Linked DNA regions of Arabidopsis thaliana. Changing the gene in region 1 together with any one later gene gives a genetic interaction. Each region holds a gene or a part of one and is shown in the gene's direction. Other genes may lie near its edges.

Region 1 (4,808 bases):
TTATAGTACTGAGCTCTCCTGTCCAATATTTAAAAATGCATACATTTTTTTGTGTGTAACTAAAATTAGTAGAAAATAAATGCTAGTCGTTAAAAAGTGCATATAGCAGATTTCGAGTTTTTTTTAATTGCGATTTCGATTATCAATGGTCGATCGTAGACGTCTTTTTTAGTAAACAAATCTGAAATTTCTATGAAGGTTACCAAATATTTTGGATTTCAACCTAAGATGAAGTTAACCTATGGACGTGTAGAACAGTGGCTGAAGTCTGAAATGATAAGATAAAGTTCAATATGAATACATTACTGAGATGTTACAAAAAACTACATCACTGAATAATTCCTTTATTTTCCAGTTTGGACAGTAGAACCTATCGCTAATTATTTAATTACCAATTAAAAGAAAAAGAAAGAATAATTCCTACAGTTGTTAGGCTATGGTTATAAGTTTCATCTTTGAACTTAAGAAATGCTCTAATTAGTGGTAATGGTAGTTACATCTATATATGTTGATGCAATGTCAAAAAGAAAATCTCTCAAATTAGCAAATCCATACCTATTTATAGACGCATAAGTATATATACCAATTATCCTGGTCGTGCAAATGGATGGTTAGTATTTTTACAACCAAACTAATGTCTAATTTTAAAAAGTAATCATTATTTTGCTTTAGATTTTTAATAGTTAATATTATATGTATAGATAGATTACCGTATGATATAATTGTTTCAAGACACTAGATACTATCTCAATTATAAAACTCACTTTTCCATAATATGGCCGCTTGTTTATAAAAAAAGAAGAGAAATAAAACAATTGATTTGGTTTATATTATTTAATTGCAGATATCTTGTACTTAATTCATTTTGAGATAATTTTGCGTATTTGAGTTCGGACATTGGTAGGTATGGACGATGAAAATAACTGCCTTCATTCTACATGTTTGAGATTTGTTTGTCGACCATATAACACAAGCGGCTAGAAAAATAGGTGACTATTCTCAAATGTCCTGGTTCTATCTAACCTGAAGGATCCCTTGTTCTACCTGGTATAACTACAAGAAAAGGCTGTTTTATAAAATATATCATTTCTTCTATGATTTCTATCTCAACTTTTTTTTTAGTTTTTTTCTTTTAGAACGTTTTCGCTTTCGAATTTTTTAAGAATTTTTTTTTTCTTTATATCTCTAAATAATAGTTTTAAAAACATAACAAGTGATACTGTAATTTTTTTTTCTCTATAAACTTGGCGGTACCCTACTTTTTTCTTATTTTTATTAATAATCTTACTTTGTTATGATAAATTATGTTAATATATGGCAAAACTAAATATATATGAAACTACTGATTACTCATTATCATAATTAATATCTTTGTATAAAAGTAAATAATATTTAGTCGAGAGAGGTATCTTGTTAAAGGAAATAAATCAAAAATTAGTGGCTACCAAGTGGGAGATATAATTTGGAATATTTCCAGTGTATTAGTGTGGTGGGTTTGGAATACCACAAACAGAAATAAAAAGAAAGAAAAATATGAAATAAGACGACAATGTGTGATGTACGTAGAATCAGTTTTAGATTCTAGTACATCAATAGACAAGAAAAAGATTGTGGTTATGATTTCACCGACCCGAGTTAATGCAAATCCGAAACAGTATAAATATGTGTAGAGGGTTCATGCCTATGATACAAATTAAAGAAGCAGAAACAAAAACAAGTAAAACAGAAACAATCAACACAGAGAAACCACCTGTTTGTTCAAGATCAAAGATGTCTATAAATATAAGAGACCCTCTTATAGTAAGCAGAGTTGTTGGAGACGTTCTTGATCCGTTTAATAGATCAATCACTCTAAAGGTTACTTATGGCCAAAGAGAGGTGACTAATGGCTTGGATCTAAGGCCTTCTCAGGTTCAAAACAAGCCAAGAGTTGAGATTGGTGGAGAAGACCTCAGGAACTTCTATACTTTGGTTCTTTCACTTGAACTCCCTTTTGTCTCTTTTCTTCTTTAGTTTCTTCAGTGCTTCTTACACCTTCTTTTTTAAAATAGAAATTATTTTCCTTTTTTGGGGTATACTGAAAATATTTCTTGGGCATGCAGAGACCTTGGTTAAAAATGCCCCACGCTTTCCTTTTCTCTGTTTTTTTATGATTTATTTGGTTTTACTTTATGATACCCAAATCAAAAACTAATTTATATTTCATTTCTTTTTTCATGAAGATGGACCCATAAAATATTTCTTCCTATCCTAAATTAAATAGAGATAAATTTATGATCTATCCCAAATTTTTTCCACCAACTTCTTGCATAAGTGATTATTATTTAGGATAAGAATCTTGGGATTTTTCTTTGTTCCTCCTACCTAATAATTTAATTTGCATTTGTTTTTTTTTGTTTTTTTTTAAGTATAATTTTTTACTATACTTTGAAAATGGCATTTTTGAAATATCCTTTTTGCTAATTAAAATATCTGCAAAAAGATATAGAAAATTGATGTTCATTAAAACAAATATATATATTGATGAATCTCTGTTGTGGAATATTTGAAAACTGTTTGAATAAGGATATTCTGATATTCAAGCCAGCCTTTAAGATACTCTCTGCTATATATAGACATGTAGCTACTACCTTTTTTCTATTCATAGTTTTCTTCTTCTTTCTTGTGTTATCTCATTTTCCAAACTTCAAAAAAGAAAAAGAAAAAAAGACCTTTTGCTTTCTTGATTTCTTTGAAAATGATAATCTTATCTTCTTATAATTCTTCGTCTTATTTGTTTAATGAAGGTTATGGTGGATCCAGATGTTCCAAGTCCTAGCAACCCTCACCTCCGAGAATATCTCCATTGGTTTGTGCACTAACTCAACTCTTTAATTAATTCACTTTTAAGTTATAGCATAGCTCAAACATGTTGCTCGAATTATATATATAGACACTCAACTACACATGTAAAACTGGACATGTATTTTGGATACTTTGAAATTGAGTAGATCACTTATAACTTAAGACTCAAACATTTTACATTTAATAGAAGGAGACATATAAAATCAACTTCGAGAGTGCGATGCATCAATTTGTCTCCCAAAAAAGCCCACACCCAAGCTAAATTGACATATTTTGTTCAAAAACTTTACTATGTGTAATGTAAATATGTATTATGTATGTCTGTGTATTTTACTGATCGCACATAGATTCTATAGAATGTATAGGACGTGACTTGAACTAAGATTTGTTTTTTTCACTTTAAAGTGGTCTTTGTACGGGAATATCATTGAGCTTAAAATAGCCTGATGACATCATCATTGTTCCTTGAAGTGAGCAGGACTAGGTTTCCTGTTATATCACTTTTTATTTTTATTTATATATTCATGCACTTGAATGTTATTGCATGTTTTGCTAGTCACTTGCACTAGTAATCTAGGAATTAGTTACGTTGCTATTATTTTTTTGTAAGAAAATAAAGTTTAAGTAGCATTTCAATTCTGTCAAAAAAAGAAGTAGCATTTCAATTATGTTGTGGTGCCATAGCTTAAACATGTGTATGGCTATCTCTCATTACAGGTTGGTGACTGATATCCCTGCTACAACTGGAACAACCTTTGGTGAGTTTTATTCTATATATTAGATCGCTAGGTGTTAGAAATATAGAAAGGTATATGAAATAGCCTAATTAATTAGTTACTAGCTAGAAAATTCACATGTTTTGATGAACTTTTTATTTTTCAGGCAATGAGATTGTGTGTTACGAAAATCCAAGTCCCACTGCAGGAATTCATCGTGTCGTGTTTATATTGTTTCGACAGCTTGGCAGGCAAACAGTGTATGCACCAGGGTGGCGCCAGAACTTCAACACTCGCGAGTTTGCTGAGATCTACAATCTCGGCCTTCCCGTGGCCGCAGTTTTCTACAATTGTCAGAGGGAGAGTGGCTGCGGAGGAAGAAGACTTTAGATGGCTTCTTCCTTTATAACCAATTGATATTGCATACTCTGATGAGATTTATGCATCTATAGTATTTTAATTTAATAACCATTTTATGATACGAGTAACGAACGGTGATGATGCCTATAGTAGTTCAATATATAAGTGTGTAATAAAAATGAGAGGGGGAGGAAAATGAGAGTGTTTTACTTATATAGTGTGTGATGCGATAATTATATTAATCTACATGAAATGAAGTGTTATATTTATACTTTACGTGTATTCATTTCTTTTCGATGCAAAAATCAGGCAGTGGGAAGAATCTGCTGTTTTACTTTTGGGTTCCATAATACACTTTTTTGTGTTGCTACTAAAGTACTGATAATATCCAAGTCGATCATTATATATCAAACTAAAGAGTTTGCATTCAATACATAAGCTAGAAAAGTAGAGCAATATTTTGGTTTTAAGTTTATGGGCTCACGTATGAAGAAACACATGTGTAAGATCGAATCCTAGGATCAAACCTTAATTATTAAATCCTTGAAAGGTAAACATATGAAGTATTTATACATTCTGAAGATTAATTACTAATGGACTTCGACGTTAGATCTTGTTCCCATGATAGAAAAACGTTTTTTTTTTAATTTGGGATAAATACGAGGAACAACTTAAGCATTTATGTTTTATTTAAAAGCGGTTTAGGCGGTTGTATTGGCTCCGTCTAGACGTTATGCTGTCAAGTTATGGTTAGATCACTGATTCAACGCCTAAAATAGTATAAGTTTCGATTTAATGTATTTTCTATTTTAAAATTAAATTTGAGTTTAAAACTAAAAATAAAACACTTTAGACATCCAAAAAAAGGAAGTGTCTTTCTGTAGTTAA
Region 2 (7,717 bases), on another chromosome or scaffold:
TATGAACATAGAGCAAGGGAGAAAAGTAAAAGGGGAAAATCGACTTGAATCTGATTCGATTCCGTCGGGAAATGATACAGTTGGAAGATAGGTGATTGATTACCTTCGATGGTCATCGCCATGTCGGCGAATGAAAATGTTCTGATTACCGGAGATCGAGTCTTGAATGATCGCCGGTGACGATAAAAGAGAAGGTGATGATTTCGTTGTTCCCCTTAGAGAGATACAGAAGGAGAGAGCCCAGAGAGGAGTCGCGATTTGAGAGCAAAATGAAAATTAGTGACCGGTCAAAATTGGTTTTCTCACCGTTCATCGATTTCATCTTTTTGGTTTGGTTGGTTTATTTTGGTTATAATTGGTTTCCAGGATTGTGGTTTTGATAATACAGCTAGTAGTCGATTTTAAAATATCACAAACTAAATGACATGAAAAAAAAATTACGATCAAAATTTGGGTTGCAAGGACCACATAAAACTCATTCCTAAATCATACGTAATAAAAATGATTTTATAACTGAAATTTTTAACCAAAGTTCATACCAATCATCAAAATATGTGAAATGCTAAATATTTTTTTCTTTTCATTTTTTGTTATTTAAATGCAATCAACTATGATTGAAACTGCATCAACGAAAAAGTATTATTAAACTATTAAGCAACCATAAGTTGAGTTGATTCGTTTCCATAATTTTAGTTAGAGTACGTAAATCTCCATCATAATACACTATCTATGCTATCATTGTTTGTTTTTTTTTTCTTTTTTTTGCTAAGAATGTAAATATCATTAGAAATGAAATGTTTGGTATTACAAGAGACGTATTACCTAAATTAAATTAACCTTGGCAAAAAGAAATAAAAACAAGGTTAAGATAAAGAGTAGTTAATCAGGAGAGATTAATGGATCCAAAGTAGCATAAGTTGTTTCCAATGCTTTCTATGTCTTCGAGAAGTAATGGTATTGCGCACCTCACGATCTATGCTATCATGGTTGGTGCGTTTATGACATGCTGCTGCTGGTGACGATTCAAAAGTGTTTATCAGTTGTTCATTATGATGCCATTGTGATGTACCATTACTAATTTCTTACTTAAATAAGGTGTTGTTTTTTGTTTTGCTCCAAATAATAAGGTGTTGTTTAAAAGGGGCTCTTTCGTTTTGGAGTAAAAGTCTCTCTGAGTAGCTGTATATTATTTAAGTAGCATAGTCCAATTATTTGACAATGAAAAAAAGTGTATAGTCCAATGAATACCAAATGAATTGACGTCACCACTAGTTGAGACCTGAGACAAGCAAGTGATCGTTAAATCAAGGAGAACGCAAGTGGACGAGGCCGACATGATCCTAACTATTGGACTCCCACTTGTGAAACTTACTTGATCCATTTCCCACTTCATAATTTCGTAAAAAAATTAAGACAATGAGAATGAATTTATTTATTTATTTTTCGGTAGAACAATGATTTTTATTTTGTCCAAATAAAACAATCGTGAAAAATTATGTTTTGGACATTATCAACTTTGTGAGTAAAACAAATTTTGTAGTTTCTTTTAACCAATATTTTCGAAGTCAACTTTTTTCTACGTGTGAGTGTATTGAGTAAATGATAGATATGTCAATAATAACATAACTCATCAATCAATCTGGCTTCAATAGAACTAGAGAAGTTATAACGTTTTTTTTTTTTTAGACAAGAGGGTTTTATAACTCTAGACTAGTTTCATAGTCCATGAAAAAAACATCAAATCTCCTAAATGGCTGGACATAATTCAGATGATTTTGTATGAAATAAAACATAAAACATATATTTTCTTGCATATCTGGAGATTTTTGTTTCTTTATTACAATGACTAATTAATTTACCTTGTTCCTTTTTATTTTTGCAAAATGATTACTGTTATCTATTTTGTCCGTTTCTAATAAAATAAAATAACAATCTGAGCTGTGGAAAGAAAAAAAAAGGAAAAGCGAGGAGAGCTAATCTGAGTCGTTGCCTCTGTCCACTGGCTCGGACCGACCTCGTACCTCTTTCATTTGTCCTCGAGCTTATAATAGAGGCTACGCCGTCGCCGCCACCTCCGCTCCATCCATTCACGGCCAAGCGACGACTCCACCGCTTAGGCTTGGCGTCTGAGGTATACTGATCAACGCTTTCTGTTTTCGGAGGAGCGAGGCGGAGATCAGCTTCTCTTATGTCTACTCAAACATATCATTCTTCTTTAGCCACTCGATTTCTTCTCTAGCGGCTCCAGAGGTTTCGTCGCTACAGAGTCAAGTTCCTCTTTTCAGGTTTTGTGGTAAGTAATCGTTAAACCCTAAGTATCGGACCTTGTTGTTTAATCTGTTCGTGTTTACTCTCAATTACATATGCATTCTTCTGCTTAATCGTTTCTTTTAGTTTAATTTCTAGGGTTTACATCCCAAAGGTCTGATCTTTTTGCATATTTGTGTGAATCTTAGTTTTTTTTTTTTTTTTTGGAATTGAATGTGATGAGTTGGGTTTGATACTGTTAAAGATCAAATCTTTAGCTTCGTTGAAGCTTCATATTTATGTCAACAATGCAAGGTTTATTTTTCTTCCACCTTTGATTTGATATTTATAATTGTTTCTTTGAAGGTGAACAAGATTTTAGTTACAAAAAAATGGTGGGACTGGAAGATGATACTGAGAGAGAGAGGTCACCAGTCGTAGAGAATGGTTTTTCCAATGGGTCTCGGTCTTCTTCTTCTAGCGCAGGTGTTTTGTCTCCATCACGAAAGGTCACTCAGGGGAACGATACACTTTCTTATGCCAATATTCTTCGGGCAAGAAACAAGTTTGCTGATGCGCTTGCTCTCTATGAGGCTATGCTGGAGAAAGATAGCAAGAATGTTGAAGCTCACATTGGAAAAGGGATATGCTTGCAGACGCAGAACAAAGGGAATCTAGCTTTCGATTGTTTTTCTGAAGCGATCAGGTTGGATCCGCATAATGCTTGTGCCCTTACACACTGTGGTATACTTCATAAAGAAGAAGGACGCCTCGTAGAAGCTGCTGAGGTGCAACATTACATTACCTTCTATCTGTGATGATTTGCATTAGAGGGTGCTGCATTAGTTAGACCATTGAACTTGTTAAATTGGTGATATGCAATTATGCATTAGGTTTTTTGCTAGGTAATCAGTTTCTAACGATTAATCATCATATTTTGCACAGTCCTACCAGAAAGCATTGATGGCAGATGCATCATACAAGCCAGCAGCAGAGTGTTTAGCCATTGTTTTGACCGACCTTGGAACTAGCCTGAAGCTGGCTGGGAATACTCAGGAAGGAATTCAAAAGTATTACGAAGCCCTTAAGATTGACCCACACTATGCTGTAATTTTCTGTTCCTCTACCATTTCACACTCTTGGTACCATTTAACTGATTCTCTAATTCAGTATGTTATAATATATTTATGCAGCCTGCATATTACAACTTAGGTGTTGTATACTCCGAAATGATGCAATATGACAATGCCTTGAGCTGCTACGAGAAGGCTGCACTTGAGAGGCCTATGTATGCTGAAGCATATTGTAACATGGGTGTCATTTATAAGAACCGTGGTGACTTGGAGATGGCAATCACTTGTTATGAGAGGTAGCATATCTGTTAATTCATCTCTAACTGTTGACTGGTTTCTTGCTACTTTGTTGAACGTGCAAGTAAGGCGCTGATTTTTTTCTCTTCTTCTTCTGCCTTTAGATGTCTAGCTGTGTCTCCAAACTTTGAGATTGCGAAGAACAATATGGCCATAGCTCTGACAGATTTAGGAACAAAGGTAAGAATCCTTAAATTTTATCACAATTTATAACTCAAGTATACTTTTTGTAAGGGGCGCCTTCTGGAAAATTCGTTATAAAACTTCGTTTTGTTTAGCTCCCCTTTGTGCTGTGTGTGCTTTGTACTTATGTCACGGCAATGGCATTGGAATCTGTTTATGTTCTTTACTAGTGAACTTTTGCGCTGAATAATTTTGATTTGCAGTTTCTTAATCCTTCTTTTCCATTGGCGAGAAGCTGTTCAGCTGTGAGTACATCTGACTTGTCAAATGTCAATGATATTTCAGGTTAAACTTGAAGGCGATGTAACCCAAGGAGTGGCATATTACAAGAAGGCTCTCTATTATAACTGGCACTATGCAGATGCTATGTACAATCTTGGGGTGGCTTATGGAGAAATGCTAAAGTTCGACATGGTATTTAATTTGTGATTTGTTCATTTCTGTAAGTCAGTAATGGTGTGGTTGTTATCGCGTGTTTATCCTTTCCTCGCCACTTTACTCGCTTGATAAAATGATATATATCTTGACTAGTTTATCTACCTAGATTTTTATCCTTCTCCACATGTTCTCGTAATTAATCCAAAACTCTGTATGTAGATCTCTATATTATAATGGAATTGTAGAGCCAAAGAATGAAATATGTCTGTGGTCATGATTGCATTCTCAATGTGCAGGCGATTGTCTTCTATGAGCTTGCTTTCCACTTTAATCCACATTGTGCTGAGGCTTGCAACAATTTGGGAGTACTTTACAAAGACCGTGACAACCTTGATAAAGCTGTGGAGTGTTATCAGGTAATATTTTTGCAGATATCTGTAGCGTTTCATGAGAATTTCATTGTGTTTGGTGGCTTATTATATCTCCCAACCTATGTAGATGGCTCTATCAATCAAACCAAATTTTGCACAGTCGCTTAATAACCTTGGTGTCGTCTATACAGTCCAGGTTTGATATATATTAAGGGCGGCTTAATGTTTTCTTAATTGAATCTCCTAAGTCGATAGAATGCCAATTCCTCTGATATTACAGGGGAAAATGGATGCTGCTGCCAGCATGATTGAGAAGGCTATACTTGCTAATCCCACATATGCAGAAGCTTTTAACAACCTAGGTCTGTTTTCTCATCTTCTGTTCTTTACGAGCTTCCTCACGTGTTACAACTGCTTAGAAACTATATTCCTTTGAAATTTAGATTTTATGTTTGTCCTTTTGTTTCTACCTCCCTGGCGCTAAGAGTCTTGTAGTGTCTGTGATAACCAGTTTCATGGTGCGATTCAAATGTAGGTGTTCTTTACAGAGATGCTGGAAATATAACTATGGCTATCGATGCTTATGAGGAATGCCTTAAGATAGATCCAGATTCTCGCAATGCTGGCCAGGTATCTATACTTTAGCGTGGTCTTCTTGTTATGAGGTTGAAAGATATATGTGTTTAAAACCTTCTTGTCCCCTTTTGTAGAACCGATTGCTTGCCATGAATTACATAAATGAAGGACTCGATGACAAACTATTTGAGGCTCACAGGTAAGCACATATATTATTAATGTAGATTTGTATTATGTTGCTTTTATGGGTCTTACAGTGAAAAAATCTTCTGAACACAGAGACTGGGGTTGGCGCTTCACAAGATTACACCCTCAATACACTTCATGGGATAATCTGAAAGATCCAGAGCGACCTATCACCATTGGATATATCTCACCAGATTTCTTCACTCATTCAGTATCTTATTTCATTGAAGCTCCCCTTACGCATCATGATTATACAAAGTACAAAGTGGTGGTTTATTCAGCGGTAGTTAAGGTAGGATTTTTACCTATATAACTTATATAGATACATTTTCCCTCTAAGCAATTCATTTCCTGGTTCTCGTGGCATTTTTCCCTTTTGAGCAATCATTGGTCTCTCATGGCTTTGCAGGCAGATGCAAAAACATACAGGTTTAGGGATAAAGTGTTGAAGAAAGGTGGAGTTTGGAAGGATATATACGGGATAGATGAGAAAAAGATAGCAAGTATGGTCAGAGAGGACAAAATCGACATTTTGGTAGAACTCACTGGTCATACGGCAAACAACAAGTTGGGAACAATGGCCTGCAGACCAGCACCGGTTCAGGTGAGAGGATATATTAAACCTATCTCATTTTGTTGTTTCGGGTTTTGCCTTTGACTTTCCATTTCAAGTGTACTTATATTGGCTAAGATACCAGGTTACTTGGATCGGCTATCCAAATACTACGGGTTTGCCCACTGTTGATTACAGAATTACAGATTCGTTGGCTGATCCACCAGATACCAAACAAAAGTACGTTTTGGTTCAAGATGCAATTTTGGGTTTCGGAAGTGCTCCAAATAAAAATCTTAATTTTTATTTATTTATTTTGTGATATTTGATTGCAGGCAGGTCGAGGAGCTGGTTAGGCTTCCGGACTGTTTTCTTTGTTATACACCTTCCCCAGAGGCTGGTCCTGTTTGTCCAACACCTGCGCTTTCTAATGGCTTTGTCACATTTGGTAGTTTCAACAACCTCGCAAAGGTTAAAAAATTTGTGTCCTTGGATTATGCACACCAATCTCCCCTAGTATCTCTTTCAATGTTTTGACAGGTTTATCTCTGTTTGTGCAAATCAGATAACTCCTAAGGTGCTGCAAGTGTGGGCTAGGATACTGTGTGCAGTTCCCAATTCTCGTCTAGTGGTAAAATGCAAACCTTTCTGCTGCGATAGCATTAGGCAGAGGTTTCTCACCACGCTGGAGCAGCTTGGGTTAGAATCAAAGCGTGTTGATCTCTTGCCTTTGATTCTTTTCAATCACGACCATATGCAAGCCTATTCCTTGATGGATATTAGGTAAGATTTGACACATAGTGCTCTGTAAAACACCGAGGCTTATAGATTCACATATTTAATTTACATTTATTGCAGTTTGGACACATTCCCTTATGCTGGAACTACCACTACCTGTGAGTCTCTCTACATGGGAGTTCCATGTGTTACAATGGCTGGCTCAGTACATGCTCATAATGTTGGTGTCAGTCTTCTCACTAAAGTTGGTAAGCTCTTAGCAAAATTTTTTTTTTTTTTTTTGCAAAAATTGTTGTTAGTCGGACATCTTTTAGCTAATTCAGCCATTTCTTGATTCAGGATTAGGACACCTGGTTGCCAAAAATGAGGATGAGTATGTTCAGCTATCTGTTGATCTAGCCTCTGATGTCACAGCTCTTTCTAAATTGAGAATGAGTCTCCGGGATCTAATGGCTGGATCTCCTGTTTGTAATGGTCCTTCCTTTGCTGTTGGTCTTGAATCCGCATATCGGAATATGTGGAAAAAGTACTGCAAAGGTGAAGTGCCGTCCTTAAGGCGAATGGAAATGCTGCAAAAAGAGGTCCATGATGATCCCTTAATCTCAAAAGACTTGGGACCATCAAGAGTCAGCGTTACTGGAGAAGCCACTCCGTCTCTCAAGGCCAATGGTTCTGCTCCTGTACCTTCCTCTTTACCAACCCAATCCCCGCAGCTCTCAAAGAGAATGGACTCCACTAGCTAGATAACCAGCAAATCGAGCTGCTGCGAAATGCCGGCAGAGAGTCTTGACCCATCTGGAAAAGGTGTGAAAGAAAGAGTCGATGAGCTTTTCCTGCTATTTACTTCCAAGACAATAGGAACTAGACTTTAGATTACTGCTTGTGTAGTAAAAAGAATAGTAAAACCAGCTCTTTCTTTTGTTGTATCTCTTTCTACTCTTAGTTTAGCTTTACATGATTCTTGGGAAGTCGTTAGGTGGTAGTGGATTTGGAGTTTTTCTTCTCATTTGAGAGATCAAGTTGTTGTGTATCGATTAGGGTTTTAAGGCTTTTTAGGATGTTTTCATGTGTTGGATTTTGACTCATATGATAGTAAATATAGTTATAGAAAGCTT
Region 3 (6,715 bases), on another chromosome or scaffold:
CACAATATATATTATATATTAACAAAAAGTGTATTGGTGATAAAAAGTACTTGATGATACACTAAACAAAAAGGATAAATGGGAGAATTTTTTATTTTGAAAGATGAAACATTTTAGGTTATATATTTCATGACCCTTATAAATAAAATTCCTGGCTCCACCACTGGATATCTCTACATATTTCCAACATCAATATCCATTGATATTTGATAATCTTTACCAAAAATTCGCAATCTCCTTTAGAGTGAAAGCGAGTATAACCGTATGACCAAACTATTTTGAGTACCATTGGTAATTCCTTACCTTAAGCTTCCAGAGGTATTAGTGCTATATATTCATAGTGCCACCGAGTATTTTGAACTCCGAAATGATTTCTCACTATCCGACCACTCCCAATTATATAACATGCTTAGAATTATTCGTAAGATGGATCGTAGTTGCATTTTACGACACCATACAGGACAAGTCCATGATAGTTTGAGTTGGTGGATTTTGGAACCCCTGCAAATTTATTTTATACATAACAAAGGCCCCAATCCATTCCTTAGCATCACAACTTGGGACTTCTATCTTTTGAAGGATACATTCACTTGTTGGTTTTGGTAAATATGATTGTTTCTTTACTTCCGAATAAGCAATATATAAAAGTATCTAAAAACGGAAGTAACTTTTGATGATCCTAAAGGTTTTGTAATTGATACATGTCCAAAAACCTCTTAATATTCTTTCTCACAAACTGTTGATGGAGTTAACAAAGGGAGACAAGGTAATTGGGACAATATCAACGTTAGATACAGGACAAGTGAAAAATGTGGGGTTGATGTCTTCAGCTGCAGCATATCACCGTTGGTATATATTGTCAATTATTAGTCCTATGGATTTGAAACGTGTTTTAGTAAATAAGAGTGTCCAAGTGGGACATTTCCAATAACGTATCACAGCTCCTAGAGCTTTTGCTATGTTTCTCTAGGCCTGGGCCGCCTAGCCCACATTCCAAGCAAGGAAATGAATGGAGTTGGGCATCAAAATTTTGGAAGCATTTTTAAGACAAATTATCTTTTAAGTTTCCTTTTTTAAACATAAACTATATTTTAGGCTTTTTTAAGATAAATATTATTTGGATTTTCTTTCACTCATATTTTTGGATTTCAACTTAACAAAACATAGGGCGTGTCTATTTGACTCCACCTACCCACCCTACTGGAGTTCGATCCCACTAAATCGCGTTATCCCGCATAGTAGGGATTGACTATGGATCGGACTTTGTCGATCCAAAGATATCTAAGAAATTCAGAAAAGATTGTATAAAATTCAGAAACGATTTTACGAAATTCATGAAAAATGAGAAATACATGTTTTTTTTAATTTACGTCGGCATTAAAAACGTTGGACCGGCTCTGTGTTTCACCAAAGAAATTGTTTCAGTTTATGCATGATCTTCAACTTCCATATTCTTGTTTTCAATTCTGGAAATCCCTAACAGATCGGAGCTCTCCTCATTCAGTGAGTTGGAAGATTGCATGATTATATAATTACTCTTCACATCCACATATATTACATTATATTCCCCTATAATTTCATACAACCCTAGAAAAGAATCTTCAAGTAATCTAATCGTGTCGATGACTCCACTCATTTGCTAGAAAAGAAAAAACAAACAGACTTCATTTAGCTGAAAACAATCTTTTATTCAACATTACAAAGCACTGATCAAAGAACCTCTAACATGGTAATATATCTATGACATTTTACGTATCCTAAAAGAAAACAAAAAGTGATGTATTGGATGATGTTTTTTTTTTTTACTTTCTAGTTTCTTATTACAACGACAAAAAGAGTCCACGTCGTCACGCACTTTTCCGGTGGTGAAAAAAATGTCCAAATGGATTAAATCTATAATATCTCCAGAGAGATCCTCTCCTTCTATCTTTTTGGGCTCCACTTTTCCTATCTCTTTTTGCCCCTTTCCTCTCTCTGTTCACAAGTCATCTTCTTCCTTCCTCTGAATCTTGTTCCTTTTTGCTCTCTCTACTTGATTCACCCACTCTGTTTCTCGATTAGTACGTTGAAAACTCACTTTGGTTTTGTTTGATTCCTCTTTAGTCTGTTTTTCGATTTCGTTTTCTCTGATTGGTTTGGTGGTGAGATCTCTATCGTAGTTTGTCCTTTGGGTTAAGATATTTCATTTGATTGGTGGGTTTGTTTTATTGAAGCTTATTGTTGTGAAAGTTGGAGTCTTTCTCAGTTTTTAGGTTGAATTATTAAGAGAAAGGGAAGATTTTTGGTGTGAAGTTAGGTTATTTGGGGTTTGAGAAGTTTGCAAGTGAAAAAGGTTGTGAATTGTGAGTGATGAAGAGAGGGAAAGATGAGGAGAAGATATTGGAACCTATGTTTCCTCGGCTTCATGTGAATGATGCAGATAAAGGAGGGCCTAGAGCTCCTCCTAGAAACAAGATGGCTCTTTATGAGCAGCTTAGTATTCCTTCTCAGAGGTTTGGTGATCATGGAACGATGAATTCTCGTAGTAACAACACAAGCACTTTGGTTCATCCTGGACCATCTAGTCAGGTATTGTTTTGATTTTGATCATTGTATAGGCTCTTGATGTTATTAGTTGTATGAGTTTGGATGTTATATAGCCTGAAAGAGAAAGTAGGACATTGGTTGATCTATGTTTCAATTGTTATCAGATCATAGTATCTTCTTTTTGCTTATGGATTGAGCTTTTAGGATTGAATTCTCCTGTATATATGAGAGTCTTGTAGACACAAGTTTATCTAAGTGTGGTTTATTTCTTAAAACTAACATTCTTGTTGTGCCTGATTCTTTTTATGTTCTGAAGTTCGATGAAAGTTTCTTGTGATTGCCCTGAGCATTCAGACTATTGCAAGGACATGAGAAATAATCCTTTTTTACCCTCTTCAATGCAGCCTTGTGGTGTGGAAAGAAACTTATCTGTCCAGCATCTTGATTCTTCAGCCGCAAACCAAGCAACTGAGAAGTTTGTCTCCCAAATGTCCTTCATGGAAAATGTGAGATCTTCGGCACAGCATGATCAGAGGAAAATGGTGAGAGAGGAAGAAGATTTTGCAGTTCCAGTATATATTAACTCAAGAAGATCTCAGTCTCATGGCAGAACCAAGAGTGGTATTGAGAAGGAAAAACACACCCCAATGGTGGCACCTAGCTCTCATCACTCCATTCGATTTCAAGAAGTGAATCAGACAGGCTCAAAGCAAAACGTATGTTTGGCTACTTGTTCAAAACCTGAAGTTAGGGATCAGGTCAAGGCGAATGCAAGGTCAGGTGGCTTTGTAATCTCTTTAGATGTATCAGTCACAGAGGAGATTGATCTCGAAAAATCAGCATCAAGTCATGATAGAGTAAATGATTATAATGCTTCCTTGAGACAAGAGTCTAGAAATCGGTTATACCGAGATGGTGGCAAAACTCGTCTGAAGGACACTGATAATGGAGCTGAATCTCACTTGGCAACGGAAAATCATTCACAAGAGGGTCATGGCAGTCCTGAAGACATTGATAATGATCGTGAATACAGCAAAAGCAGAGCATGCGCCTCTCTGCAGCAGATAAATGAAGAGGCAAGTGATGACGTTTCTGATGATTCGATGGTGGATTCTATATCCAGCATAGATGTCTCTCCCGATGATGTTGTGGGTATATTAGGTCAAAAACGTTTCTGGAGAGCAAGGAAAGCCATTGCCAAGTAAGTTCACTAGAAATTTACAGTTTGGTTATTTATTCTCCGCTCTTTCTATTTATCTCCTTCTTTGATACCAACATTTTTTGCTTGAAAGAAGTTAATATTTAAGCATTGTTCCGTAGTCTTACTGAAGCTTTTTCCTCTGTTGTTTTTTGCTATTTTCATTGAGGACTGTGGTAGGGCATATTTCACTATCACCAAATTTCAAATTTCTAGAACACTCTCCTTCATATTTTTTTTCATGATTAATGCTGCAATTGATTGCTGATATACATATATGACTATAACTCAGTTTCATATTCTGTCTCATTTTGGGAGAAAGAGATTTCAGGTTTATGCTTGAGAAGTGATGGTTCTATAGTTGAGAGGCCCCTGATTCATCTAAAATGGTCCTATTATGTGTTTAGTTGTAGAGTCCTCGGTAGAATATTAACGCGTTTAACACGTTGGATCATGTTATAGCAGGGAGGGACATTCTCTGTTGACCTATATTGTGCAAGGTGCCCGCCGATGGCTTTATTACTATACCTTCTTTGCATCTGGTTGTTGGAACATGTCCCTGTCTCGGTTTGGTATTGCTTTTATTCTGCACTGTCGTCTTGGGCATTTTCCCTACTTGTCATTCAAGGGGTTGAACCAGGTAGGGAAATGTTTTTCCGAGGACCCCAGGATCTAAATTTTAGTTAACCATACGTAAAGTTAGTTTTGAGTCTTATGACGATGCAGAATTATAGTTTCTTCTTACTACTGCTTAAGAGGATCCTTAGTGTGGTTGTGAACTACAGAGTTTTTATGATTGTAGGCTTCATGACTTAACTTTTAAGGTTCAATGTACTCTAATCCATATGGTAAGGTATCGGATTCACGACCAATGCAAATAATAAGATTTTTATTTCTTGCTTCTTGTTAAATATCTGACATCTCATTTTGCAGAGGATAAGCTGCGCTGTAAGCTAGATTTCAATAAGCCCGTCCTTTGCATTGTTATCTATGCTTTAATATGTCATTGGACCCATTGATTTGGTTTTCTTCTATCTTTTTTGATTGGCTATGTATTCTTGTTTCTTTTTTCCTATCTCATTTCGATCGTATTGTTCCATTAGCTGTTCAACCTAAACTATGTCTCTCTTTGTTGAACTTTTGATGGATAATCTTCTTAATGTGACTCTGTTTCTCATTACAGTCAACAAAGAGTATTTGCTGTTCAACTATTTGAGTTGCACAGACTGATTAAGGTAAAGTCATTCAGAAACTTCTCATATGTTTCCATGAGTATTTGTTTCTTCTCGAGCTGAAACAAACCTCTTCAACTGTGTAATAATCAGGTTCAAAAACTTATTGCTGCATCACCGGATCTCTTGCTCGATGAGATCAGTTTTCTTGGAAAAGTTTCTGCTAAAAGCTATCCAGTGAAGAAGCTCCTTCCATCAGAATTTCTGGTAAAGCCTCCTCTACCACATGTTGTCGTCAAACAAAGGGGTGACTCGGAGAAGACTGACCAACATAAAATGGAAAGCTCAGCTGAGAACGTAGTTGGGAGGTTGTCAAATCAAGGTCATCATCAACAATCCAACTACATGCCTTTTGCAAACAACCCACCGGCTTCACCGGCTCCAAATGGATATTGCTTTCCTCCTCAGCCTCCTCCTTCAGGAAATCATCAGCAATGGTTGATCCCTGTAATGTCTCCCTCGGAAGGACTGATATACAAGCCTCACCCAGGTATGGCACACACGGGGCATTATGGAGGATATTATGGTCATTATATGCCTACACCAATGGTAATGCCTCAATATCACCCCGGCATGGGATTCCCACCTCCTGGTAATGGCTACTTCCCTCCATATGGAATGATGCCCACCATAATGAACCCATATTGTTCAAGCCAACAACAACAACAACAACAACCCAATGAGCAAATGAACCAGTTTGGACATCCTGGAAATCTTCAGAACACCCAACAACAACAACAGAGATCTGATAATGAACCTGCTCCACAGCAACAGCAACAGCCAACAAAGTCTTATCCGCGAGCAAGAAAGAGCAGGCAAGGGAGCACAGGAAGCAGTCCAAGTGGGCCACAGGGAATCTCTGGTAGCAAGTCCTTTCGGCCATTCGCAGCCGTTGATGAGGACAGCAACATCAACAATGCACCTGAGCAAACGATGACAACAACCACAACGACGACAAGAACAACTGTTACTCAGACAACAAGAGATGGGGGAGGAGTGACGAGAGTGATAAAGGTGGTACCTCACAACGCAAAGCTCGCGAGTGAGAATGCTGCCAGAATTTTCCAGTCAATACAAGAAGAACGTAAACGCTATGACTCCTCTAAGCCTTAATCCTCTCTATGCGTATTGTACTTGATATGTATTTTACAAAATTAGAAAAATTGTGATAGATGTTATCCTCAATATATGTACCATGTAAACGTATTATGGTGTAAGCCTCATTTATATGTGTTAATTTGTCTTAAAGCCTTGAAATCACTTGAACAACAAAGATTATTTGAAACAACTACTTACAATCACTGTTTCTTTTGTCTGTGACATCAAGAACTTAAGCATCCCATATTTACAACATCTTGTCTACATAGGAAGGAGTATAATTGGTAGTAAGATATTAATGGACATCGATTAATATAGGGCGGAGACGAAGATCAAGCACTGAATCCACGGTCAAGAGAGCTCCAAGGACTGGTAGGGATGGTGGGACAAGCCTGCATTGCTGCCTCCTCCATTTGCCTCATCTGAATCCCTGCGTTGCACATGTTTGCAATCGACCTCATGTGCTTTATTCCGTACTGAGACAACGATCCACAGTGCCTCTCGAAAGCTCTCACCTAACAACCACATAAAGGAGAATAAGAAAGTGATCATCACAAGAAGCTTAATCATCTAATGAGGACTGAAAGTGATTTTTTTCCGACATATCATATCGTATCTAACGTCCTGAGTCTTGCATCCTCTGGCCAATACCATTGTTTAA
Region 4 (6,231 bases), on another chromosome or scaffold:
ATAGATAGATAGTTAGTTGTAACTAGGATAAGATAAACATTTTTTTTCATCGAGTTATTGCAATGATTTTTCTCTAAAGTGTAAAATTCTACAAAGATACAATAAAACATCTTAGGCCAATGAATTGAATTATTTGTTATACATATACAGTATACAATTATATGGAGATAAATTTTAGTATCTCTACTCAAATTAGACAATTTGTCTACAATATTGTTATGTGTCATAAACTCGTCCACAACACACAACATTCATCCATTAGGTCCCAATGATCAAAAGTATAGTAGTAAAAAGTAAATCATTGTGGCGACACTTTTTTTCGTCTCAGCCATTTCGAGCTTACTCTGCACATGCTATACATCAACCGCTTCCTAAAACCTACAATTATAAGGTATTAATTTCATAGCTCACAACAAAAGGAACAAAATACATCTTTAAATTCTACAAAAATAAATCTAGAGTTACAACTTCAACCGAGAAAGTCTATCAATGCATATTTCCATTTAAAGTGTGACCTGTCATTGTTAAAAGTTTATTATTGTTGAATAAATTTAGTTAACAATTTCGTTTATCTGTTTTTAATATTATGGGAAGGAGTCATTTTTCACTAAGCATATAGATTTTCTAATGAGTATCCCTATATATATATATATATATTAAACTTCTTTTTTCGGTCAATACAATTTTATAATCTTTCATTTTTTCTATCATTTCATATCATTGTAACTATAAATTTTCGTAAATAGACCTTTAGTGTTAATACAATAGATTTTTATTAATTTTATATCGGATTTTGTTTAAAAAAGAAAAACCATAGGATGGATGATGATTGGTACTTATAAGATTGTAATTGGGTATTTTTGGATTGTTACCACCATTACAAAGCTATTAACAGAGATTGAAGATATCACACAATGAGAGCGCCACAGCTTCAGCAACGTCCCATGCAGCTGATGTGCCTTCGCCTTTCTCTTCCTCATCTGCGCTTATAAATAAGGCAAAGCAACTAGAAAAGATTAAAACCAAAACCAAAACAAAAAACTAGTTAAGACCCTGATTTTGTTTCATAGGTACATACACTTTTCAACATTGATTTTTGTTGTTAAAAATAAAATCCATGTGAAGGTTCTCATCATATACCGAAAGAATGGGAAATTTGAAAATTCCATACTTTTTTAAAAAGACAATTTGTTTTATCACTTTAGTTTTTTTATATATTCAGCGTCTACCAAATCTACACTTTTTTTTCTTTCTCGATTTAGTTAATCTTCGTTCTTGTGTCATGTAATAGATTACTATTTCAAAACATAGATATTTAGTTATCTAAATAAAACTAGGCCATCCATGGATGGTTTCAATTTTTTTTTTCATATGAAAGAAAAGTTAAATTTCATTTCACAATAACCATTGATTACTAAATTTAGTAAAGAATCAATTGGGTTTAGTGTTTACTTGTTTAAGGTTTTTTTTTTTTCTTTTGTTATGGTTCTATACTAATATCAAAGAGTTATGGGCCGAAGCCCATACATCTTTCCGTCGAGAATCTCATATATTCTTTATCGAAGCCCATACATCTTTCCGTCGAGAATCTCATATATACCTTATCCCATTCAACATTCATACGAGCGCCGCTCTAGGGTTTTTGCTTTTCGCCATTGGTCCAAGTGCTATTTGGTTGTTTAAGGTTGCTTTTAGCACACAACTTTAATATTATTTTTATGTTTTTCTTCTTACGATTTATCGATTTGTGGGATACTGACAATCAGATTATTGTTGTTTTTTCCAGCCAAATATCAGATCTTGCGCCGCTCTTTATCCCATTCAACATTCATACGAGCACCGCTTTACGGTTTTTGCTTTTCGACATTGGTCGAAGTGCTATTTGGTTGTTTAAGGTTGCTTTTAGCACACAACTTTAATATTATTTTTATGTTTTCTTCTTACGATTTATCGATTTGTAGGATACTGACAATCAGATTTTTGTTGTTTTTTTCAGCCAAAAATCAGATTTTTTTACATTTTGTTTAGAGAATGATTTTGGTTCCCGATTTGTCTGTTTTTCGCTTATGTGTAAAGTACTTTGAAAAATATTGTGTTAACTCTACAATGGGTATCCCAAATTTTTGAGTTCTTTTGTCTTGTTCGTTGTCGAGACACTAGAAATGTTAATTTAATTCTCTTCTTCCAAAAAGAACCATTTACTGGTTCATTCTCTACTTGAATTTTATTCTGGTTGTATTTCTTTTCCAGTATAAAGCAGATTGTTTTTTGTTATTTTTCAGTTTAGATTGGCTTTGTCTCTTTTGAGTTGTTGCAATTGTCAAACTTTGGAATGAAATAGTAAATAATCTTAGGTTGGTAGTAAATCTTAACATTGTGTTTTTGGGGCATAATTTATCGATAAAATCTTCAGCATTAAAACCAAAAAGAAAAAACTTTTTAAGTCTTTTTTGTTTGGTGGTTAATATAAAGTTTATACGTGTATTAATTTGATCACACTCACTATATGTCCAGGGAGCTAAACCTCTATATCGAGTACTAATAGTATGCAATGTCCAGGTTATTGCATTGAGGGAAAATGAATGGACAAGGTGATTTGGATGCGGTTGGAAACATTCCAAAACCAGGTGAAGCTGAAGGCGATGAGATTGATATGATTAATGATATGTCTGGTGTTAATGATCAAGATGGTGGAAGGATGAGAAGAACCCATAGGCGCACTGCTTATCAAACTCAAGAACTTGAAAAGTTTGTTCACTTTCTTCTTCATTTCATCATCATGCAACATTTCCTATTATTTTTTTTATTTTTTTATTTTGAGTTTGGAATGTTTCTCTTTACTTTGCTCTTTACTTTAAAATGAGTGTAGTTTCTACATGGAAAATCCTCATCCCACTGAAGAACAGAGGTACGAGCTTGGACAAAGGCTTAATATGGGTGTCAATCAAGTCAAGAATTGGTTCCAGAATAAAAGAAATCTCGAGAAGGTACCAAAAAATACAGAAGTGTATACATGCATGTGGCTGTGTCTTTTCTTATTCTTTGCACGTACCGTATTATGGACCATGTTTCTGCCCTATGTTAAAAACAAATACTGTATATAGTTTACCACCTCTCTCTCTCATCCTCAAAATCTGCCTTGATTATGGTATAATTATTGAGTGTGGTTTTTTGGGTAAGCAGATCAATAATGACCACCTTGAGAATGTAACTCTTAGAGAAGAGCATGACAGATTGCTAGCAACTCAGGATCAGCTTAGAAGCGCAATGCTACGTAGTTTATGCAACATTTGTGGTAAGGCAACTAATTGTGGAGACACTGAATATGAGGTGCAAAAACTTATGGCTGAGAATGCTAACTTGGAGCGGGAGATAGACCAGTTCAATTCCAGATACCTTTCTCATCCCAAACAAAGGATGGTCAGTACATCCGAACAGGCGCCTTCTTCTTCCTCTAATCCAGGAATAAATGCAACACCAGTACTTGATTTTAGTGGTGGAACTAGGACGTCTGAGAAGGAGACATCAATTTTTCTGAATCTTGCCATTACGGCTTTGAGAGAGTTGATTACATTGGGAGAAGTGGACTGTCCATTTTGGATGATAGATCCAATCGTTAGATCCAAAGGAGTATCAAAGATCTATGAGAAGTATAGAAGTTCTTTCAACAATGTCACAAAACCTCCCGGGCAAATTGTGGAGGCTTCAAGAGCTAAAGGTTTAGTTCCCATGACTTGCGTGACTCTGGTCAAGACTCTTATGGACACAGTAATAACCTTTAAACCACCACCCATTTTTTAGTGAAATGTTGTTACATGAAATGTTAACAAGTTTTTTTTTTTTTTTTTTAAACAGGGCAAATGGGTCAACGTGTTTGCACCTATAGTCCCTGTGGCATCAACCCATAAAGTGCTATCTACCGGTTCTGGTGGAACCAAAAGTGGCTCACTCCAACAGGTATAATATATATAGTTTTCTGAGTCGTCTATATTGGTTGATAATCCAAGAGAAGTAGAAACATTTCAAATTTGTGATCATATAATTTTGGCAGATTCAAGCAGAATTTCAAGTAATTTCTCCGCTGGTACCAAAGAGAAAAGTAACGTTTATTAGATACTGCAAAGAGATCAGACAGGGCTTATGGGTGGTCGTCGACGTTACTCCTACTCAAAATCCGACTTTGCTGCCCTATGGTTGTTCTAAGAGGCTACCCTCAGGCCTTATCATAGACGACCTGTCCAATGGGTACTCCCAGGTTACTTCTGAATCCTGTTCTTTGAACAATATATGTTGGTTCACTTGTTATTACTCGCAATCATAATTAATGATCTATCAGAGCATCTTGTACTGTGGAGACATAAATAAATGGTTAATGGTTATTATTATATTCACCACATGTATAACACATAGAGATTTGATTTCACAGGTTACATGGATTGAACAAGCGGAATATAATGAGAGTCACATCCACCAACTCTACCAGCCTTTGATTGGCTATGGGATCGGGCTAGGTGCAAAGAGATGGCTCGCGACGCTGCAGAGACACTGCGAAAGCCTCTCGACCCTTTCATCTACCAACTTGACTGAAATTAGTCCAGGTGAAAGCTATTTAAATTATAGAATAAATCTCATTACAACTACTTTTTAGGTCATTTTCGGTTCTCCACTAAATTTGGACAGGCCTTGATTGTGATATATGTTTTCGATATAGGATTGTCTGCAAAAGGTGCAACTGAAATAGTGAAGCTAGCACAGCGAATGACTCTCAACTACTACAGAGGTATTACGAGTCCTTCGGTGGACAAGTGGCAGAAAATTCAGGTGGAGAATGTGGCACAAAACATGAGTTTCATGATCCGAAAGAACGTGAATGAGCCTGGTGAGCTAACTGGGATTGTGCTGAGTGCATCCACTTCTGTTTGGCTCCCAGTGAACCAGCATACACTCTTTGCTTTCATTAGCCACCTGAGTTTCAGACACGAGTGGGATATCTTGACCAATGATACTACCATGGAAGAAACAATCCGGATTCAAAAAGCAAAACGCCATGGAAACATCATCTCTCTTCTGAAAATCGTTGTGAGTTTCAAAACATTTATTTTTGGTTTAATGAGTGTCGTTTTGTCTATGTTTCCATTGATTTTCGTGAGTTTTGCAATGCAAACAGAATAATGGTATGCTGGTTCTGCAAGAGATTTGGAATGATGCATCAGGTGCAATGGTGGTGTATGCACCAGTGGAAACCAATTCTATTGAGCTGGTCAAGAGAGGTGAAAATTCAGATTCTGTGAAGTTTCTTCCTTCGGGATTTTCGATAGTGCCAGATGGAGTAAATGGGTCATATCATAGAGGCAATACTGGTGGAGGATGTCTACTGACATTTGGACTTCAGATCTTGGTGGGCATCAATCCAACTGCTGCACTCATTCAAGGTACTGTCAAAAGTGTCGAGACACTCATGGCTCATACTATTGTCAAGATCAAATCCGCGTTAGATTTACAGACGTAACCATCAGCAGCTCCAGTTTCCGTTGTTCCGCAAGAAATTCGACATTGGCTTGTGCCCTAGTTTGCTTTTCCAACCAAGACTCTTCTGGATTAACTTTTTTATGCGTTTGTTGATCTGTTTGCTGGATATTTCTTGCTTCCTTTCTTCTTTCCTTTTCTGAAACTCTCAAATTGTTACAAACCAGAATTAATAGAGAGTTAGAACAATATATTTCGTATTCAACATTGATGGAGATCATGCTTCACTATATCAGGTGAAAAATGCATTCCAGAATTCTAATAACTACTAGAAATCAAGCTGAAAAGAAACAGGGTTGCGGGTGGAGAAAAGATGTACTGCAACACCGGATTAGAATCCATCTCTCTAATTCTCTTTTCTTGTTATACTAATACACATAAGTTAGTACGCAACTAACAGATGATCAAGACCTTGCAGTTGCTATAATGTTAAGATTAAATCAAAATGAACAAGTTGGTTTTAGTCTGATTTTGCCAGCAATCTTCCAAGCATGCTTTAAAAACTCGAATGCTTTCCAAGGGTCCTCTTCAGAGAGAGCAAATTTCAGGTCTGCAAACAAGTCACCTAGAGCCGAAATAGATTCTTCTGCGCCTCTCGGTTCTTCATGTCCTTCTGGTTCTCCCATGCGTGTATTTCTCTCTCTTGCACGTACCTCAGCTTCCAATTTTGCAGCCATTGAAATGGCTCGACGTATACATGATGGA

What was found.
Region 2: of FT (region 1) and SPY, changing one suppresses a phenotype caused by changing the other (phenotypic suppression), as found in Arabidopsis thaliana (one study listed by BioGRID).
Region 3: of FT (region 1) and ELF3, changing one suppresses a phenotype caused by changing the other (phenotypic suppression), as found in Arabidopsis thaliana (one study listed by BioGRID).
Region 4: of FT (region 1) and FWA, changing one suppresses a phenotype caused by changing the other (phenotypic suppression), as found in Arabidopsis thaliana (one study listed by BioGRID).

What each region holds. Positions count from the first base shown.
Region 1 is NC_003070.9:24,329,740-24,334,547, forward strand, and holds FT (PEBP (phosphatidylethanolamine-binding protein) family protein), read left to right. Parts: upstream 1-1,633; 5' UTR 1,634-1,638; coding exon 1,639-1,971; intron 1,972-2,786; coding exon 2,787-2,848; intron 2,849-3,561; coding exon 3,562-3,602; intron 3,603-3,726; coding exon 3,727-3,950; 3' UTR 3,951-4,260; downstream 4,261-4,808. UniProt on the Arabidopsis thaliana protein: Component of the mobile flower-promoting signal (floral stimulus or florigen). Promotes the transition from vegetative growth to flowering. Required for 'SEPALLATA3' (SEP3) and 'FRUITFULL' (FUL) accumulation in mature rosette leaves.
Region 2 is NC_003074.8:3,630,203-3,637,919, forward strand, and holds the start of SPY (Tetratricopeptide repeat (TPR)-like superfamily protein), read left to right. Parts: upstream 1-1,684; 5' UTR 1,685-2,293; intron 2,294-2,613; 5' UTR 2,614-2,639; coding exon 2,640-3,035; intron 3,036-3,192; coding exon 3,193-3,354; intron 3,355-3,440; coding exon 3,441-3,616; intron 3,617-3,721; coding exon 3,722-3,797; intron 3,798-4,085; coding exon 4,086-4,214; intron 4,215-4,474; coding exon 4,475-4,594; intron 4,595-4,676; coding exon 4,677-4,745; intron 4,746-4,829; coding exon 4,830-4,911; intron 4,912-5,084; coding exon 5,085-5,179; intron 5,180-5,259; coding exon 5,260-5,324; intron 5,325-5,404; coding exon 5,405-5,603; intron 5,604-5,720; coding exon 5,721-5,915; intron 5,916-6,009; coding exon 6,010-6,104; intron 6,105-6,199; coding exon 6,200-6,335; intron 6,336-6,429; coding exon 6,430-6,647; intron 6,648-6,722; coding exon 6,723-6,850; intron 6,851-6,941; coding exon 6,942-7,345; 3' UTR 7,346-7,717. UniProt on the Arabidopsis thaliana protein: Probable O-linked N-acetylglucosamine transferase (OGT) involved in various processes such as gibberellin (GA) signaling pathway and circadian clock.
Region 3 is NC_003071.7:11,057,110-11,063,824, forward strand, and holds ELF3 (hydroxyproline-rich glycoprotein family protein), read left to right. Parts: upstream 1-1,834; 5' UTR 1,835-2,349; coding exon 2,350-2,568; intron 2,569-2,768; exon of another isoform or gene 2,769-2,930; coding exon 2,931-3,727; intron 3,728-4,907; coding exon 4,908-4,959; intron 4,960-5,049; coding exon 5,050-6,069; 3' UTR 6,070-6,215; downstream 6,216-6,715. Other genes in the region: ALPHA-VPE (alpha-vacuolar processing enzyme), read right to left, coding at 6,387-6,569. UniProt on the Arabidopsis thaliana protein: May be a transcription factor part of a circadian clock input pathway. Acts within a 'zeitnehmer' feedback loop and is involved in its own circadian regulation. Has no role in regulating circadian clock function in the dark.
Region 4 is NC_003075.7:13,036,734-13,042,964, forward strand, and holds FWA (FLOWERING WAGENINGEN), read left to right. Parts: upstream 1-1,626; 5' UTR 1,627-1,684; intron 1,685-1,786; 5' UTR 1,787-1,895; intron 1,896-2,559; 5' UTR 2,560-2,578; coding exon 2,579-2,748; intron 2,749-2,869; coding exon 2,870-2,987; intron 2,988-3,183; coding exon 3,184-3,768; intron 3,769-3,855; coding exon 3,856-3,957; intron 3,958-4,051; coding exon 4,052-4,255; intron 4,256-4,426; coding exon 4,427-4,598; intron 4,599-4,711; coding exon 4,712-5,079; intron 5,080-5,167; coding exon 5,168-5,509; 3' UTR 5,510-5,731; downstream 5,732-6,231. Other genes in the region: homolog of DNA mismatch repair protein MSH3, read right to left, coding at 5,967-6,231.